Linked DNA regions of Neodiprion lecontei. The protein of the gene in region 2 interacts with the protein of the main gene of each other region in a pairwise test. Links are inferred from orthologs where the notes say so. Each region holds a gene or a part of one and is shown on either strand. Other genes may lie near its edges.

Region 1 (9,659 bases), about 11 Mb from region 2:
CGAACATGCTGGAATTCTACCCGTCGGCCCCAGGGCCAAACAACCACCCTGGAGAACCGGGCCAACCATTGCTACCGACACCAACAATGTCTTTCCCTCCAGGAATGAACAACAATAACTCTGGTGAGAACGTTAAAAAAAAGTCTGATCCATTACACGAATCGACCCATCCCGTGTTGCGTTATACCACCTGCAATCACTCGTTTGCACAGTCTAAAAAGCTTCGAGTGAAGTGTAAATATCAGTGTTCAGCGATCGAGTTGGTTTAAACACGCGAGAAATGATCCGGTCGCGTTTCGTTACAGTATCGAACGAATTGCACTTTCCTAAATTCGATGCGTTCAGACTGACTTCTCGGCTAATGCGACAGCCAATTTACGTTCCTGACTAATCCGTCCGTGATATTATATCGATGTGTTCCGCGCGGATCCAGAAGAAGCACGAAAGCGCGGAGCAAACGCAATAACACCGCAGGTCATAGCTTGTACTATACGTGCTTAGGACGTGGATATAGAATATAATACGCGGGTATGTATTTGCACAAAGCTACGCGTATGTGCAGAGTGCCTTTATTGGCACTCGAAGTGGCGTTTGAATGACGTATCTCTCGTCAAATACTTGAATTCCTCCCCGTGGTTCAACTCCGGGCGCTGCAACAGATGTCGATCAGCTCTCGCAGTAGCTGCACCAGACTCCCGCCGAGCCATCCGATGAGCTTTTAATTTTTAAATCGTCCGGTGCTCTCGCTGACGTAAAAATAATCAAAAGAATTTTAATAAAATCACATGAGAATCACTATAACCAACGACGAACTACAGGTCAACCGATATTATTTACTCAGCAAAATATACCGTTTAATGATGATCAGTGAAACTGGTCATTTGTTTGTACGCAACGTTCGCAAACAATACAGGGAAAATAGTTTGATCTTAAATTGTATAGATGTAAACAGAGTCAAGGTTGATTATTATGGAACCACAGTGATAGTATATATCTAACGTAGTATTCGTTTATTTTCTAATATCTCCGAATTTTCCAGATGTCGTGGAATAAGTATACGTTACTTTTTCCCTACAAATTTGAATTGGTTTATAAGTAATTTTCCGAACTTTCCGGTGATTGTTATCACATCGAGTTTAATAATGATCTGCTAATTTTAATCATATAACGCAATAGTTGGACAATTATTTTTCTTCGAATGTCAATAACTAATTCCGATATTTATATTTTTAACCAAACACCGGGACTTGTTCCAGTTTTTCAGCATCACAACAACCCTGCTCATTGTACAATTGTTATTGTTAAAGAGCCAACGGTGTCGGTGAAGACGGAGGCGGGACTCCTAGAGGCGATTTGCGCAGCTTGCGGTCGAGGCATTGCGGACAGATACGTAATGCGAGTAGGAGAGAAAAGTTACCACGAGGATTGCCTCTCTTGCGCTGCATGCGCGTCTCCCTTGGTTCACACCTGTTTCACCCGGGATCACAAGCTCTACTGCAGGGTGGACTACGAGCGCATATTCGCGGTGAAGTGCAGCCGATGCATGGAAAAGATTCGATGTTCGGATCTCGTGATGCGGGTGGCCGGCCTCTTCTTTCACGTCGAATGTTTCGCCTGCTGCATGTGCGGACAGAGCCTTCCTCGAGGGGCTCATTTCATCCTGAGACAGGGGCAACCCATATGTAGAAGAGACTTCGAGCACGAGCGTTACGTTCACAGTCCTCAAGGTATGCGTTTGGAAATATTTTACCCCTGCAATCATGAGCGCGTGAGCATAACGATGCAACTAAAAGTACTACTTGGCGTCGAATGTTTCCAGACGACGACCTCCTGGACGAAAGTCGACCTCCGGACGGGCGTCGCGGCCCCAAAAGGCCCCGCACTATTCTGACTTCCGCTCAGAGACGCCAGTTCAAAGCGTCCTTCGAAGTGTCGCCTAAGCCTTGCAGAAAAGTGCGCGAGGCTCTCGCCAAAGACACTGGTCTCAGTGTTCGGGTCGTGCAAGTCTGGTTCCAAAATCAGAGGGCGAAGATGAAGAAACTTCAGAGAAAAGCGAAGGCGGAACCTGGCGCCGAAAAGGAACCGAAGGAGGAACGCGCCGGGGAAAGTCCTCACAGCGATCACAGTGAGTTTTAAACTTTGCGCGGAACTCTCTGTAATTAATACCGAGCCTCACGATCCCCTCTCCGATCACGATTGACTACTTATGTGAACCTACGTCGCAAACTTCGCCAACAGCGATCGAGAATAAATGCTCGCGTTATTTGCTCCTCTCCACTTTCTTTCTTCCTTTCATGTTTCTCAGTCTGTCAGTCGACATGCGAAAACGTAAATCTTAAAGAGCAGAGCCCCCGCCTAACTGCGGAACGGATATTGCGAGGCATGTGTCACCGGGTGACGGGCGTTAAATTCCTGGGAAGACGACCCCGCGAAGTCTTGTGTCGCCCAGAGGCATAAGGGAGGTCTTTTACCCCGTCAGTTTTATAAGTTAAAGAATATAAGGAGGGGCTCCGTGGCACCGAGTCTCTCTCTATCTCTCTCTCTCTCTCTCTCTCTCTCTCACTCTCTCTCTCTTCCGCAGTGTGGGTTTGTCACCTTTCTTCTATGCCGTCTCGTTCACAGGTCATTACTTGAACGCGCTGAGCATGCGCGACGGGGATTCTTCCAGCTTCCCTTCGGCCACGCAGCCGCTCAACCCCAACAACCCTTACTCACCCGACGGTAAGTTGTTGACGCTTCACCGTCGCCGCCGCCTTCGTTTCCCAAATTTTGCCCAACCAGATCCGACACGAGCTTTCGTTCACGTGTGAAATGTCCATGCGCCGAGAATAACTTCATTTTTTGCAGTCAATGGAAAATTCTACCAGGAAACATATCGTCACAGAAACAGTTTCGATACTGCGGAAATTACTGTTGTTAGTACTGGTATTACTATTGAGAGCGCGGATTGTAATTGCCAGTACTACATTTTCTGACTATTCCAACATTGAATCTGTTTGTTTATTTCCCTTCATTTTTCAGCTAAACAAGGCCTTGACAACAATTTATTGTTGCAACAACATCAATTTATCGCAATAGTTACAAGGACCATGATCAAAGAGAATATTAACACATGCATATATGTATATACCATACTAGATTTACAGATTACAGCTATAAAACTCATTTTTATCTTTGACTCTGAAATATATTTTTTCTGATAACGATAAAAAATTGCACCGTGCAGTAAACACGACTGGAAATGTCACTCATCGTTAGTGCAGAAGCTCGCGATCCTCGAACTTCGCTCTCAATTCCTTCCCCATTTCCTTCTTCGAGAAGACTATTTTATTCGATATACACTTTGCATCGTTGGCTCAGTTTATTTTTTGTGGGTTAATTCACTGAGGATGAGCGCACTGCGAAGTACCTAAGAATAAATCGAACCTTGTCTTACAGTTGACTGATTTTAAATACCAACCAAGATACTCTGATGTTTTCGATTTTGCATATTTTCCTCATCTGCGTTTCAGACACATACGCGGGACATTCCGGCGAGAGTTTCTGCAGCAGTGACCTTTCTCTGGACGGTACCGAGGCCGGGTTCGATATCGGGGATGGGGATAACGGGGGCCCGGATGGGAGTCATCCTGGTGGGCCTCATTCCCATCACGGACCTCCCCCGCACGAAGCGCCGACACTTTCCCAGAGCCTACACGCCGCGATGCATAATCCGATAGACAAACTCTTCATGATGCAAAGCAGTTATTTTAGCGGCGAACATGCGTAGGGGTTTGAGCCTTGGAGCCTGGGGCTTGATCAAGCTTAAACTGAAACTTACGCGTAATGAATTTCACTCGAAGATTATTTTTCAAACGAAACGAACAAAGTACGCGCATGTATGTAGATGTACCTTTTACGAGTAGAGATTCAACGACCTGCTGTGTAATATTGTTCTAGTCAGGTTTTCTTCGATGACCCGTAGAATTGGTAAACTATTATTGCTGTCGTTCGAGTTGTTGATTTTTAAACTTACTTCCTTCTCAGATACCGATTATTTTGATCAACCAATACTATGATTACTTATATATATTTTAATTTATTGAAAAAAAAAAAATTAATCACCCAGTTACGTATATTTATTTCATCGTATATAGCTAAATCCAAAGAATAATCCGTTGCTTTAGTTTTACCGTATATATATACTTCGTTGAAACATCGATTTTCAGTTTTAAATATGAAGATTGATACCAAATAAAAGAGATGTAGAAGAATATTTGTATTTACGTTTAATAATAAGTGTACTTTAATATATTATAATAATAAAAAGTTGCTAAACCAAATATCGTTACCGAAAAACTGTAATATGGGAGGATTCTATTTGGTTTTGGACAGAAGTAATGATATAAAAAATAATTATTTTCAACCCGACCTGATTAGCAATAGATACGTAAATTCAAAAATTCTCTTGGCAACAAATCCCGAATAAAATGACATAACACTGTACCTCAAGCACGTATGGGATAAATAATTACACAAAATAATCGTTCAATTTCTCATGTTATTCAAGACCCAAAAATTCGCAAAAAAATTGCCATCTGCTATTTGTACAAAATAGGTTTTATTTGTAGTTTCTTACAATCATGTTGCTTTGAACTTTCGCCAAACCGTTGACAACAGATTCAGTGATTTGTTACAAACGTGAATAAACACCCGTTTCGTAAATTAAATTTAAATAAATTAAACTTTATCAATCAAACCGTACTGAACATAACTGTCTATAATACGTCTTATTGTAAATCGTAACATACATGTAAGCATTACTGGTACTGATTTGTTATCGGGTTTGTACAGCTGCCTCTTTCCGTGCAGCATCTTGCAAAAGCTGTGTATCAACCTCGTCTCCAGGAAGTTGAACGTACCTCACTACAGAACCACGAATGAAACAGTTTTTCACTGACAACTGTAACAGACGACCAAAAATTGGATCAAGTAATTCTGTACTGCCGAATCACAAAATTAAGGAAAGTAGGATATCTCCAGACATAGAATAATTCAAGTAAATGTTTAATACGTGTTATTGTGTACTGGCTTCGCCGGATTATAGTTTCTTATAACATGCATTACTGATCAACATGTGGTAACTTTACAAACCATGTGAGGATATTTATCTGGATCCGTCACACTGATGTCTGTGAGCTTGATGTTCAGATACTGGTCCACAGAGTGTAAGGTACCACAAATACTGAAAATATAATAATAACAACGGTGAGTAATTGGTATTTGCAAAAGCTGACTAAGAATAATACATAATGCAAGTTTGATCAATATTTAGATTGCAGACAGAAATGAAAAAATGGACTGAGTTACAATCGGTCAGAAAAGTGAACAGGATTGCTTGTTAACTTAGAATGGATACAGAAAAAAAACTTGTAACATTTGAAAATTGTAATTGGAGCTTTCAAACATATCGTATGATAACAACAATAGAAATAACTCTCACAACTCAAATAAAACGAATAAAGCTCAAATGACAAGTTTGAAAACCGAGTGACAACAAACTGAGAACACTGACTATCTGCAAACCCGGAATTTGTATTCATATTTATTCAAGTACATGTATGTGGACCATTGACGTTGTTGAATTTCTCCGTATCTTCCGAATCTCGAATACTGAATGGAAGTATATTTAACCACGGCAGATTATGCGGAGAATGTTTACGATTTATTGTTGCATATTTACGTTACCTCAGGTCATTTTTCAACTCCACTACGACGTCCTTCCCGACCAAAGATTTGAAAAACGAGTAGAATAACTGTAAAAGAGAAGAAATAAGACCAATATTACAACCCCTCAACTGTAGATAATATACAAAGACGTTTTTAAATATTTCGCTAACCATTTTTACCGAACAACATAGAAAATCACAGGTTATGTGTCTCGTTCAGTTTTGGAGGTTATGCCGCTTCGTTACAAAACCGAACATAACGCTCTCACACGCAGCTAGATATCGATAGTTCAGATGCCTAGTTTTAGGTCGATAGTCGATGGAATGTCGAGGTATCGTATTGATAAAAGAATCATGGGTTAATGCGCGCGGGACGCATGAGCGGAAGGGACAGGCAACTTACGTTCCCAATATGTACGTATAGGTACGCACAAATGTGCAGAATAACGCTAATGACTTAACAAATTTTGGTAAAACGTCAATTGAAAACTGTGAATAAAATTAAAATTTATAATCGATGTACCGTATTGATTCGTACGGTATAGAAGCTCCGTTATTTGGCCTGGATCGGGTTGAGATTTGGATGTAAATGTACATAGTTGGGAACAAAGAGAAGAAATGTGATAAATACGGTTTACGTAATTTAAAAAGGATAGATATATTTAAAGCGCTCCAGCAGAGAAAGGAAGGTACGCGAATGCACCGGACGGAGAGAACAGCATGGGGAATATCCAGGTCGGAGAAGGACGGTTGAACGTTGCGAGGTGGTGGGGGTGAACCACATGGTTCCCAACATCAGCTTCGCTGTAGGCAAACATCGCAATTTTCACGAACCATTAGTGCGAAAACGTAGTTGAGACCTACGCAGTCCTAAGGATTGCGAAGATACTATTACGCGTTTAGGGCTTGATGTGAGCTTCTATTGCGCAGCGATTATCGGAGATCTTACTGTTGCGGTTGTCGACGGGGACAAACTCTCGTGTGTTAGGAATAAAATAGAATAAAAGACGGAGAAAATTTCTACCGAATAGATCAAAGGTAGAACACAACAAAGTGGGGGTGTGTGCCTGACTGTCGCAAAATTTCGTTGTCACGCGCTAAAAATAATACGGAGACGAGTTTTTAACAGTGCCATGCTGGTTAAAAACAATAACTGATAAATCATTTAGGAGGTTTTTTTTTCATCAAGTCATGGAGAAATTAACTAACATCGCGTATTATTTTCGTTGGAGGCTTCGGGAGAAGGAAAATGTCCCCGAAAAATACGACGAAAGTACGTCCGAAAATAATCGTCCCGGAGACGTTAAGTACAACTTTAATACGTCCAACAGATTTTTAACAATTCTGGAAAGCATTTTGCTCTGGGAGAATTCAGTGAATAGTATCTCTGTCGTCATTGTCTTCAATTTATTGTTCTGGTAAGTTGCACGATATTACCCGTTGGCTGAATATTTTTTCTCTTTTTCTTTTTATCGCATACTAAATTTACCATACTCTCATAAAAATTGATTTGCAATTTATATGATCACAAAAGAAGCTAACACGTCGTGCCACCTTTTTCAACATTTTCTGTTTATACCTCTAAAAATGTTTCTAGCGATAACAATGAGAATTTAAAATTTGCAGAATCATATAAAATCATACAAGTTAATGAATCGAATATTGTAAGAGTAAAAAATTTATTTTTCTCATATGAAAATAAATTATAACTCTCGGTCTGCTGGCGTCTTTCTTCTTAACTAAAAATTGATTTTGTAACATGGTAAAGTAGAGGTATTGAAATTTGATGGTGAAACATAGCTATTGCCGTAAATTTGTTTCAACGTCGTATGTGTACATATGAGCAAATGAACTTTACCTATACAGTCTAACTCCGTAGAATGTAATGTATTAATTATCAGCTGTTCACAGCGTAGATATTCACAACAAGCTATCGGAAGACAGTGTGAATTTGTATATAAACTTTAATGAGATACTATTGCAATGTATTATTCAGCCTTGAATATGTATAATCTGTTTTTTTTTTACTGATATGAACACATGATCGTACTCAATTCTGTGCGACCAGTATTCAGGAAGTGACGCTGGAAGATAAATCAGATCTTATCTGTAGTGGTGATACACAAACTTGTTTTTTTCAATTGATAGAACATTTTATTGAACCTTTGACTCATTATAAGTCTAATTACAAATTTTTACCTGTTACCGAACATAACAATCAAAAAACTATGATCTTCGATATTTTAGCATAACTACGAACAGTTATACATTTATTTATCTCAATTTTTTCAGGGGAATTGTCGTATTGGAGGTTCGCGGTTTTGCGGCAGCCAGCAGTGCTGCGCTAGTCGTGGTCCTCTGCTACAGCACCCTTGAGACACAGGCCCAAAAGGATAATAAATCACCAACTGTAGCGACGTAAGTTATTGCTTTTGACATTTCACATTTGCATGGATTCATCGGTAAGAGATTTTCTTCAATGTAAAATTTTTGGTTATTCGATAATGATAAATAACCCAGATAACAAATCATGTGTTTACAGCCCACATGTCAAGTCAGAGCAGCTGAACAAAATAGTTCGTCAGCTAAAGTCTGGTGTTGACAACCTCAAGCAATTGCGCAAACAACAGCCAGGAGTGGTAGGATGTTTTCATTTAATAAATATTACATCATTATTTTTACTTATTTGAGTTTAATCGCGTTCCTTCAATTCATGTGCCAAATTTATTTTAATCTTATCTATAGCTGTTGAATGATATAAAAATAAGTATTTTCTATTATGGCCTTTCCTTTTCCCTTCAGTTCTGCGCTTCTACTTGTGCAGTTTCGTTGGGTCTCTGGCTGACAGGACGAGCAATTTCTGGGACACTTTTAGCTTACACAATTTTAATGAGTATCTTAGTAGGACCTGGGATTCTTTTGCATATACCGTGCAAAGTTATGACGTCTAAAGGTGAATGACAAGTGAGACTTGATCAAGATAAATTGCAGCTGTTTTGGATAGAGTGTTAAAATTTTTGAAGAACTAACTCTGTATTTACCAAGCATTAATCTGAAGAATTATTCTTACAGAATGGGATAGCGAAATAGAAGAGTTTCTACCTGCGGTTACAGAAGATAACTTACAAGTGTTAAAGCGAGCAGGAGAAAGTGGGGATCAAAGTCTTACACCGACTAGTTTGTCAGTGGAAAATCAAATTGGTACAGTTTTCACACTTTGATTTGTAACAATAGCAACACTGCTGAGGGTTGAAGTCATTTTTTCACATTACTGATACTTTAACTCCGAGATAGTTTTCTAGTATCTTATATAGTAATTTCACTCACAGATCCTCTTAATGACAAAGAATTGGTTGGTCTAAGAATGCCTTCCCATGAAGACGGTAGCACGGACGGTTTGGAACTGTCCGAATTGGAATTAAGTACCGACGATGTTGAAGTTGATGGCATTAAGTTCCAAAGTGGTCATTTTGAAAGAGGATCATCATCTGAGGAAGAAGCCGAACTTCAGCCACAGAAAATTTCTCAACATAGCGACGACAGCGACAGCGAATTTGAAATAATTGACACTCGTGAAGTTGTAAATGTCAAGAACGTTTAGAGGTTTGACATAAATTTTGTGTAATATATAACAATTGATAATATCTCGCATCTGAATCAATCACACCATTTACCTGATTTGGCTGTGAAAATGATGAATGTTGGCTTTTACTTGAATATACGATACACAGTAAGTAAAAATGATGAATGCTGGATTTTACTTCAATTTATAATACACAGTACGTAAAAAAAGATTAATTTTGAATTCAAAATAATGAATATTATAACCAAATATACGGGTATATAATTCTTGAATTACTTTGTTCAATGTAAAAGACGTGATTACAGATATTGGTTGGGATACGGTTAACTGGTTCTTGGTAATATCAAAGTGGTGTGATTATTCTTAGA
Region 2 (9,621 bases):
ATTTGTAAAATGAGCAAACATGTGAGTCTGCTACTTTACTACGGTCTGCAAAGTGAACCATTCTTAAAGTGTTTTGCACGTGGTGTCGTAACGTCGATTCGATTTACAATTCTTTGTGATGTGATCGTCTTGAGAAAGTACACTCTGGTCAGCTAGGACCAATAAATTATTATATGAATTGATTATCGAATAATTTGTAAAATATAATCTCAAAACCTGCCTCGCGGTGTAATTAAATGAAAAATCTGCAAGATACTTATTCAGCACTAGCTTACCAGAGCGCACTTTCCGAAAATCACACGATCATTCTACATAAATTCCAATTCGATTCAAAGTTTCACAAAAGAATGAGCTTCTCATAGAAACTCTTAAATTGGTCACGTGGTAACATCCTTAAAATACTTTAACCACCTATTTGCAAATGATGAAATATGTTATATACTGCAATAAAAGTTTCCTGGCTGATGTTAATGCGTGAACACGTATTTGCGTGGCTAATAGATATCGTTAAAGTGAATGGTAAATGAAAAAAAATATATCGCCCAATAATAATTATTATGTCCCTTCACTTCGAATTATTACTAAAATCACACTTGAAATTTATCATAGGAAACAAATCAAGATTTTTTTTTTCAGCGATTCTGATAATGTAATAATAGTACCAAATCGCTTGAATTTAATATTTTAGAACGTTGCGATTGAAGGACTATTATACTCAATTTCGTATGGTCTAGTAGATCAAGGACTGCGAATGTTGTGATGAATCAATTATTACTGTACAAAACTTATAACTAGGCTCAGTAGAATAGTGCTCCAAGTAAATTGAAAAAAAATTCATGCGCGAGCCACAGACTTATAGCGGTCGAGCCCGAGTACGAGTACCGCTGAGAGTGGTCAAATTTGTAGCTATCGACGAGATTTTCAGTAACGATTCTGGCTTATTTGCGGTGTTTGTTGTCGTTTTTTCGAAAAAACAAGCGCACCAAAAAATACCTCCATCCGGTGTAAGAAAATTCAAGATTAATTGTTGCGCTATCTGTTATAATAGTTTTTGCAACACCTGCATGGAAAGTCCATTTTTATGCACCATTTACAAGCACCGAAAGTAGTCTTTTATACACGTGTGCGGGAAAAACTTTCGCGCATTGCTAGGGATGTGAGAAAGAAAACCTTCGCACATTGCCGGCGGTATAAGATCAACCTTCGCACATTGCTAGCGGTGTGCGAAAAAGACGGTCGCGCTTTTATCCACAGTTGCGCATTTCGCAAACAGCTGCACTAGCGCCACCGATGGAATAGTTTGTCACTCTTTGCCGTGCTCGACATCGCTGCATCATCACTGAAAAGACATCGTGCCGTGGTTTCGTGTAAAAATAATCGTGTATGTCGGACTTTCCATTACAGGTGTAGCAAAAAATAGGGTTCGATACTAGTGCGAAAGTTGGCAATGCCTATCTCGCGTGAATGCGCCACACTCGCCCTTCAACTCGTCTACGGGCTCGTGCTGCGCCTTCACGCTTGTGCGGGCATTGCCACCTTCAAGCACTAGTATCGAAAAACACTATTGTTTCATTGGACTGAAATTTTTAATTCCGGTTACCGCTCAGTCCTTGACTATTTTCATTTTTTAACACAATCGGAAAATATAGTTCTAGGTAGAAAATGAAAATTAGTTTTCTAGTATCCGTTACTATTCTTTTTCATTACGATCACTGTTGCTATACTTTCTTTTAACTGTTAGGAAAATTTAATGCTTGTGCAACAATAAATTGACGCTAAAGCCTTATTTAACTAAAAAAGTAGAGTAAACCGACAACAGCGTACAATGGTTACATGTACCTCGTTTTTCGTAATTCCAACAATATTGAAACAGTTTTTTTAATGATACCTGATTTACTCAATTTTTCTAGTTACTGTAAGAAATGAATTTTTCTCAGTGTGGCACTGTTTTAGTGCCAGTAATTTGAATGTAATAATTAAAAATTCATATAAAATCGTAAATTCAGATTTCCAATCCGGATGAATGTAACAGTTTCTTTTGAAAGTGTTTCCTAACGAACGAAAAAAATTCGAACTCTTTTTAAACGAGTTTTGATCTTCGTTAGGTTTCAGAAAATCAAAAATTCTTCGTCGCGAAACTGTTTAACGAACGCAATTATTAGGAAGTGATTAAAAAACAACTTCAGTTCTCTTTCATTGAAACGAAAGACTAGACGCTGAACGTTGATTTATAGTTGTCTATTTATAATCGTAAATGAAAGAATTGTTGCATTAAAATTCATTTTATTAGGTTTGGGTTGAAAAAACGAACTTTTCAGCTCAAACAGAAACGGCGTTATGAATTTTTGAAAGTGAGTCTTCCAAGCCAAAAAATACCAAATTATCAAACTTTCGATCCCCTCTATTTTACGAAATATGTGAAATAAAAAATCCTGGAATACGTATCCCTATTTTTTTGATATAGAACCCGTGAAAAAATGTTAAGCTACATCAAAATTGTGTCGGTCTATTTTTATCTAAATCTGTCCGATTCGTCAAAGAATGTCCCATATTCAAGGGTGTTTCACGGAACAACAAATTGGATTTGCGATATTCACCGTAAAACCATCAAAATAATCAGTTCGGTCGTGATGCAATCGCTACACACATGACGTCATTATTTGCATGCAAAATTCGGGTCAATCCTGTTGGTTTGGTTACCGACTCAGATTCAGGTCCTTTACCGACCGCGTTTTGTCTAATATTGTGTTGCGCTACTCCCCGGTGGAAAGTACCACCTTCGAATGGTTTGGAACCGAGGAAACTTACGCAGAGAGCGCTTCGATCGATTACAACTTTTAGATCCAGGTCAGCGCACTGATATATATATACACTGGATTGGATATTACCGTATACTCTACGTGTAAGCTCGTGCGTCCAATTGAACAATTTAATTTCCGCCATCTTGTACAGAAAGTTGTCACAAAATGCGCGCTAGATTTGAACTGCGTAATATATGCTATTTAGGTCTAACGATATATTCGTCACACAAAAAAGTTTTTGACGAGTAAAATAATGTTTGATACATTAAATGAAGAACAAATCATTTTTTCGAAGGTATGTTATTATTTACAATTATATGATGTAAAAGATCATTAAATAATATGACGAAAAACTTGTATTTAAGCGTGATTTTTCTTCATGTTCAAAAGAAGTCCTCAATTCTAAGAAGTTTCCGTCCATTATCCTCTATCCTATGGTGGGCTGAATTCCATACGGATTATTCAAAAATTTGTATAACACTAATTCAACCGTTAGGGAATCCATTTACCATCCATTGATCATCAAAGTGGAGCTTAAGACATGTAAAAAAAGTTTTGAATTAAATTATATCGAATTGGGTGAGTAAAAACTTTATTCAAAAATATGGAGAATAAAACATTCCTTGCAAACGTTAAGGCATTTTTATAGAGTTGCGTGCGATAAACCACAACCGTAATATAATTAGTAGTATCAATCCACAATCCATTCACATGAAGAAAAAGTTACAAGCACAATCAAAAGAAAATAAAAAAGATGTACATACCTGAGCATGCAAATCAGGTACAAATGTGTAGGTGATCATGTAATTTGGTTACATTCACTGTGGTGGGCCGATCGGATTCATCCTGAAATTCGGTCTGCTGCAAGTTTTCACCTACAGATAAGTTACTAATAAATAACGACAATGGAAATACACAGAAATGTGTCACACACGATTTTTCTGTAACAGAGCACTTTATAATCTGTAGGTAATTAACCGCTTTGACGGCATTGACGCAATAGTGCATCACATCAACGTGTCTTTATGCACACTGAGTTTTCTCTGACCTAATAGGGATTAATAGTTTCAGATCTCACCAAATAACGTTGGGATACTGCCTTTTCGTAAAGTTATATAATTTTTACTTTTCTTCTGAAAGCAAGAGAGTTCAAAGTGGTCGGAACACAGAAAGCTATCACTTGATGGAGACCACGGTCCAATGTTTATATTTGCGATCCATGGCTTCATAATATCAGGTTCATCCAATGGGAACCTACATAACAAGCAAAGTTTAAATTTATTAATTCACACGTTATGTTGCATTGAGTAACGGTACTTACTTGAAGAATGAATAGCCACGTCCATATTCCTTTAATCGGTGACAAGATGAACACTCTGATTTTGGGTTGTCAAATATAGTTGGTACACTGTTCTTTTTCAATGTAATTAGGAATCCTGTCCTATCAAAGCAATCATTTGTAAAATGAGCTGAACACAATGTGCTATTTCGGTTTGGCTTCCAGTCCTCCCTCTTCATTTCTTCTAACCAATGCTGAACGCGCAACACATCTTTCACGGGAAATCTACATATCGAATTATAATTTAATCCCTCAGTCAATAATACCCGAGTTTTCAATTTCAATTATAATAAGATCGGTTCATAATTCAAATATTGTGAATTTTTACTGACAAGATTCGTACGTTATAATACTCGTTAAATATAATTAGTAAATACTTCGTATGCTGACATAACCTCTGCAAGTTATCATTTGCAGAACGCTTCAGCGTTGTATACTCACTTGTGAAATGATCGCCCACGATATTTTGATTGCTTTGTTTTGCAAAAAACGCAGGTACTCATTGTTACCTCAATAATTGTTACTGTAATTTTCCGTCGCAATCGATTATATACACATACATATATCACGTATATATATATATATATATATATATCTGAAGTGACAAGAATCTGTACAAAATGGCTACCGTTCAATTGGCGTGACGGCACCACGCTTAATCCAATCCAGTGTACATATATATCAGTGGGTCAGCGGCACCTTAAACAGCAAAAACTTACGCCGAAAGCGCCAGTAACTTTCAGTGGATTACTATGGGATTACTGCAGATTACTGCTACTGCTACAATTTTTGCAGCCCATTAAATCCCACCTCAAGACATCAGGTTAGCTGTGCGCTTCCTTTTGGTGACTTGCGGTGCTATTTATTTGGCAACTCTGCGATTACACTGATGGCGTCGTTGCAGCGTTAACTGGTGAAGTGGAAAACGCTATAATACAAACAAACAAAACGATTTGTTGAAGTATTTTGCTTCTACTGATTACATTGGCCAACCTGTTCTACCCTTACCAACAATGGCCTCAGGACTTGAAAGTTACGTAAACCGTATCCTTTTTCCTATCCGAAGTTGTATTTATAATTTAATTACATAAAGGTTATGTTTCCTCAATGTTTACTAGATACTGTTTCAATAATAACTTCCGATGGTAGGAACTTTATCGTGAGTATAATATGATCTAGCTTTTAAAAAATTTTTTTCTGTGAAACGAATCGCTGTGGTGACGCAGTCGCGAACCGATAGCGTAGTTATTAGCTCGTGTGTGATTTCGGATAGCAACAGAATATCGTAATTTATTAAATCTGACGAGAGTATGACGAAGCCCAACTTGCTCTGGGAAATAACATAAAAAGTTGGATTTCACTGCACCATCTGATGGAGATGCTTTATACCAAAAAGTGTGTTCCTGTAAAGCTATGAAAATTTACTGGCTGCCAACCACGCTGTTGTCTACACAGTCGTTCTCAGCTGCCTAGGCACTGTGAATCTAGCCTTTTGTAGGACGAAAAATAATTGACTAATTGTATAACTCTTGTACATTAATCAGTCTTAGGAGAATGCTATAATTAATCTTGATTGACAACATTAAATGTCATTTACTTTGGCTATGATCACAGCCTACAAAACACTGATGTGAAAGTGCCACAGTCAGCGCAGTACTACATGCAATGTCTAACCAAAACATCCAAACCTTTGTTGTTTCATACAAGAATAATACCAAGAAGTGTATCCTTGCAATAAGTGGTGATATAATTACAGGAATACATTTCTTCAAATGTGACGTCAAAATTTTTTTTTGGCTATTTGTAGTCAACATTGGATGTAGCATTGTACTGAGTGTAGCATTTTCACATCAATGATGCGCAGGCGTCGATAATAATAAAAATCTTTATTATTTATCTATTCTATTACTCCTATTCATTAACATCATCGAATATTCTGAACTATGTTTATGTTTCAGGGTACATTGAAAGGATTTGATCAGACAATCAATTTAATTCTTGATGAATCACATGAGCGTGTGTACAGCGTGACGCAAGGTGTCGAACAAGTTGTATTAGGTCTTCATATTATCAGAGGAGATAACGTGTATGTACGCACAATAAAATAATGTACATTTTCAAGAATGTCAGTAATTCATGTAAACCAATATTCCTGTATTTACAGAGCAATCGTTGGTGAGCTAGACGATGAGATGGATGCAAGAATTGATCTTTCAGCGATCCGAGCTGAACCACTTAGCTCTGTAGCGCATTAAAATAAATTTAAAAAAATTTTAGACAGCGTTTTTCTGAATACTCCTTACTTTATTCCACATTTTACTAATTGGCAATCGTGTTCTTACAACATATTTGGTTTTTTTTTTCAATGCACTTTTAACTTTAAGGAAATGTGCCTGAATTGAATTGAAACAGGTTATTTATTTTTGATATCAAAATGGAAATAAAGAAAAAACAACTCAATTTTTCTCAGTGCCCTAACATGATTAAGTCATTGGAACTGTAGTTATAACACCGGGAGCACTGTTGGATCAAATAAAAATATGAATAAAACGGTAGGTTAATAAGATACTGCTGATTATTTCAAGTCTCGATCTTGTAATATTACCCACTAATACTTTACATAAATTATAAAACACTTGTATTAAAGTTAATTATAGGCATATTATTCTATAGATAACGATATTAATTTATTTTCGATTGCATGATAATATTATTTGCGATGGAAAAATGAGTAATGCTTATAGCCGAAAAACGATGTTATATAACTATATCTGCATAGATACAAACGTTTTAAATAAATTGTAGCACTGATAATTCTACATAGAATAATTAAGTTTCATCATATTTGATTCAGGAAATATACACTATTCACATATCACTGGGGGAGTCATTACAATATGTATATTTAAATATGATTGCTATTATGATTTCTTAGATGAATGAATAATAATAATTTTTCAGTTCGAAATCACCATATTAATTTTATATATTCACTAAATTTCAATTTTCTCGTTTTAGCGAAATGTGTTTGCAATGAACAAACAATAAGAAATTTAGTATTTGCTGAGGTTGCATCATTGATTTATTACATGATACTTCTATAAATTTTTTTAACATATATCTTAAATTAATAATATTAAAGTTGAATTTAACAATCAAGTAAATATTATGCAATAATAGAGTCTGAGCTGATGATAACTTAGTAAAGTATGTATGTACAGTTGGAAGACGTACAAAAATAACACGGGAATACATAATACCAAGTATCGGTAAGTAATACACATGTAGTAAGTAATTTAAATTCAATCATTAAGGAGTTGTGTCATGAATTTCATTATTAGTATTTTTTCCTCCAACTAATTCGAACTAGAAACTCTATGTACAAGCTTCAATCATCAATCTGTCTAATTTGTTATCCATGATGAATCGGTAATTATTGAAATCATTAATCAATTCACATCATTTCATTTGTATGGTTATTAAGTGATGTACCAGTATACAGAAAATCGTTGGTATATATTGTCCGATGCCCGTCTTAATAATCAGAATTGAAACTTAAACATATTGATACATATTAATTTCTGTATTTCAAACTTCGTACCAGATTCCATGATTAGTATGAATCAATTGACATATCTAGTTTGAAATCATTTTGCCAAAACTATTTTTACAATTGCGACGTGAATGTTCTCCACAGTGGTAATAAATTTAAGAAAAATAAAACTAAGAAAAATTGATGTATAGCAACAAAATATTACATCTTGTGTAAATAATAGTACATGATAGTAAACTGTGGAAGATGTCTTATAGTGGATATTTAAAACAGGTTACAAAGAGAGCTTGGGGAATACAAGTGAATTAAATTCAATTGAAGTTGTTGAGGAGATAACAGGGGTAATACAAAAAAGTATGTGTTTCAGGATTGTATTGAATAGGTCTGCATTTTAGGGGAAAACAATATGTCAAGTCAAGCCACTTGAAGATAATTTTCCTTGATAATGAATTATGGCGATTTGATAAGCAACACATCTTCAAATATAAAATAAGAAGTAAAACTAAGGAAAAATTCCGTACTGATTATTTTTAATGCAAAGTTATTTCAATCGATAAATATAATATCGAATAACTACTAGGTAAATGAAATATACTTAAAGCACACAACTTTAAAACGGAATACAGATGATGCACAATCTGGTCAATTATTATAACACTTGATTCGCAATTTTTTGACTGATGTTGTCAAATCTGTACCAGCTTTAATATTGATTTCTGGATACTCAGTACCCAGGGATTACTCGGTCGTCTATCAAATGTAATGTGATGAAGTATCTCGTTGCTAACTTATCCGAGCAAGAGCCAATTTACTCAATTAGGTCACATGCTCATTTTAGCTGCCTCATATATTACTTGTCATGTTGGCATCATTATTAACCACTTTTAACATGTGATGCTACAAGTCTCACTGTATGCATACAATTCTACAATTCACGGCGGAGATCTTCTATTACTACTGTTATTATTACTTCTGTTACGATTTCGTCTGCGTATCCGACCCGACCCTCGCCGATTATTCTGATTTTGATTGCCTGCGTTCCAGTCCCCTCCATTACCCCCAAAGTTAGGAGGTGGAGGTCCATTGGGACCAAAGCCCATCATGTTATCGTTAGGTCCGAAGTTGTTGAAATTACTAGGTGAAAAATTCGGTCCCTCATAATTTGGTCCTTCGTAATTTGGCCCGTCATGTCCGAATCCCCCCATAGTAGGTGCAGGGCCCAACAAACCAGCCCCACTGTTACGCTGGGCGTTAAATCGGGGATCAAAATTCATCTGATTTGCAGGCCCCATATGTGCGCCATTCGGCCCCATGTTTCCCATTGGCGGTACGTTGGTCATACCCGGCATTGGTCCCATGTTTGGCATATTTCCCATCATTGGCCCATTCGCTCCAATATTTCCCATCATATTCATTGGTCCCATATTTCCCATCATTGGCGCATTACCGCCCAAGGCCATGGGTATGCCTTGAGAATTAATCGCCTTCACATTATCTATGGGTGGTGGCTGAGAATTTGCGGACATGGAAGGTATAGCACTGCTAGAAGTTGGTAAAGCTGCATTTTCTAAGGCTTTTCTACGTGGATCTGCCCGAACTTGTGGTGGAGACTTTGGTGTGTCTGGTTTAACAGGTGGCGGGGACATCGGCGAGTCGGCGAGGTCTGCGTCAGTGATGCGAAATATTTTTCGCAGTCTAGGGTCATTTTTGACCTGCGGGTCGTTTCTAGTCAATTTCAGACCTGTATAGTAAGGTCTTGGTATATCTACTACGTATACTTTGAACGGCATGGGAGGATGCGAAGATATACTCGCATCTATTTCAGTACAAGGAACATGTGATGGTGCAGGTTTGAAAGGGAGGCTGAGCATTTGTCTCAGATCAATGTCTGATCTGGTTGACGTCGCTGTTACTATTCTCAAATCCGT

What was found.
Region 1: the proteins of U6 snRNA-associated Sm-like protein LSm8 (region 2) and U6 snRNA-associated Sm-like protein LSm2 interact in a two-hybrid assay, tested with the Drosophila melanogaster proteins (2 studies listed by BioGRID). The link is inferred for Neodiprion lecontei from reciprocal best matches to the Drosophila melanogaster genes CG2021 and CG10418.

What each region holds. Positions count from the first base shown.
Region 1 is NC_060261.1:37,242,155-37,251,813, reverse strand, and holds U6 snRNA-associated Sm-like protein LSm2, read right to left. Parts: upstream 6,132-9,659; 5' UTR 6,123-6,131; coding exon of another isoform or gene 6,028-6,122; 5' UTR 5,883-6,027; coding exon 5,880-5,882; intron 5,796-5,879; coding exon 5,728-5,795; intron 5,225-5,727; coding exon 5,134-5,224; intron 4,943-5,133; coding exon 4,817-4,942; 3' UTR 4,582-4,816; downstream 1-4,581. Other genes in the region: LIM homeobox transcription factor 1-beta-like, read left to right, coding at 6-123, 1,308-1,727, 1,820-2,125, 2,623-2,721, 3,513-3,769; reticulophagy regulator 3, read left to right, coding at 6,900-7,126, 8,001-8,126, 8,251-8,347, 8,511-8,661, 8,781-8,909, 9,038-9,309.
Region 2 is NC_060261.1:26,107,219-26,116,839, reverse strand, and holds U6 snRNA-associated Sm-like protein LSm8, read left to right. Parts: upstream 1-5,035; 5' UTR 5,036-5,153; coding exon 5,154-5,184; intron 5,185-5,258; coding exon 5,259-5,299; intron 5,300-6,098; coding exon 6,099-6,226; intron 6,227-6,304; coding exon 6,305-6,395; 3' UTR 6,396-6,416; downstream 6,417-9,621. Other genes in the region: THAP domain-containing protein 1-like, read right to left, coding at 3,579-3,676, 3,880-4,055, 4,123-4,365, 4,582-4,643; protein suppressor of sable, read right to left, coding at 8,626-9,621.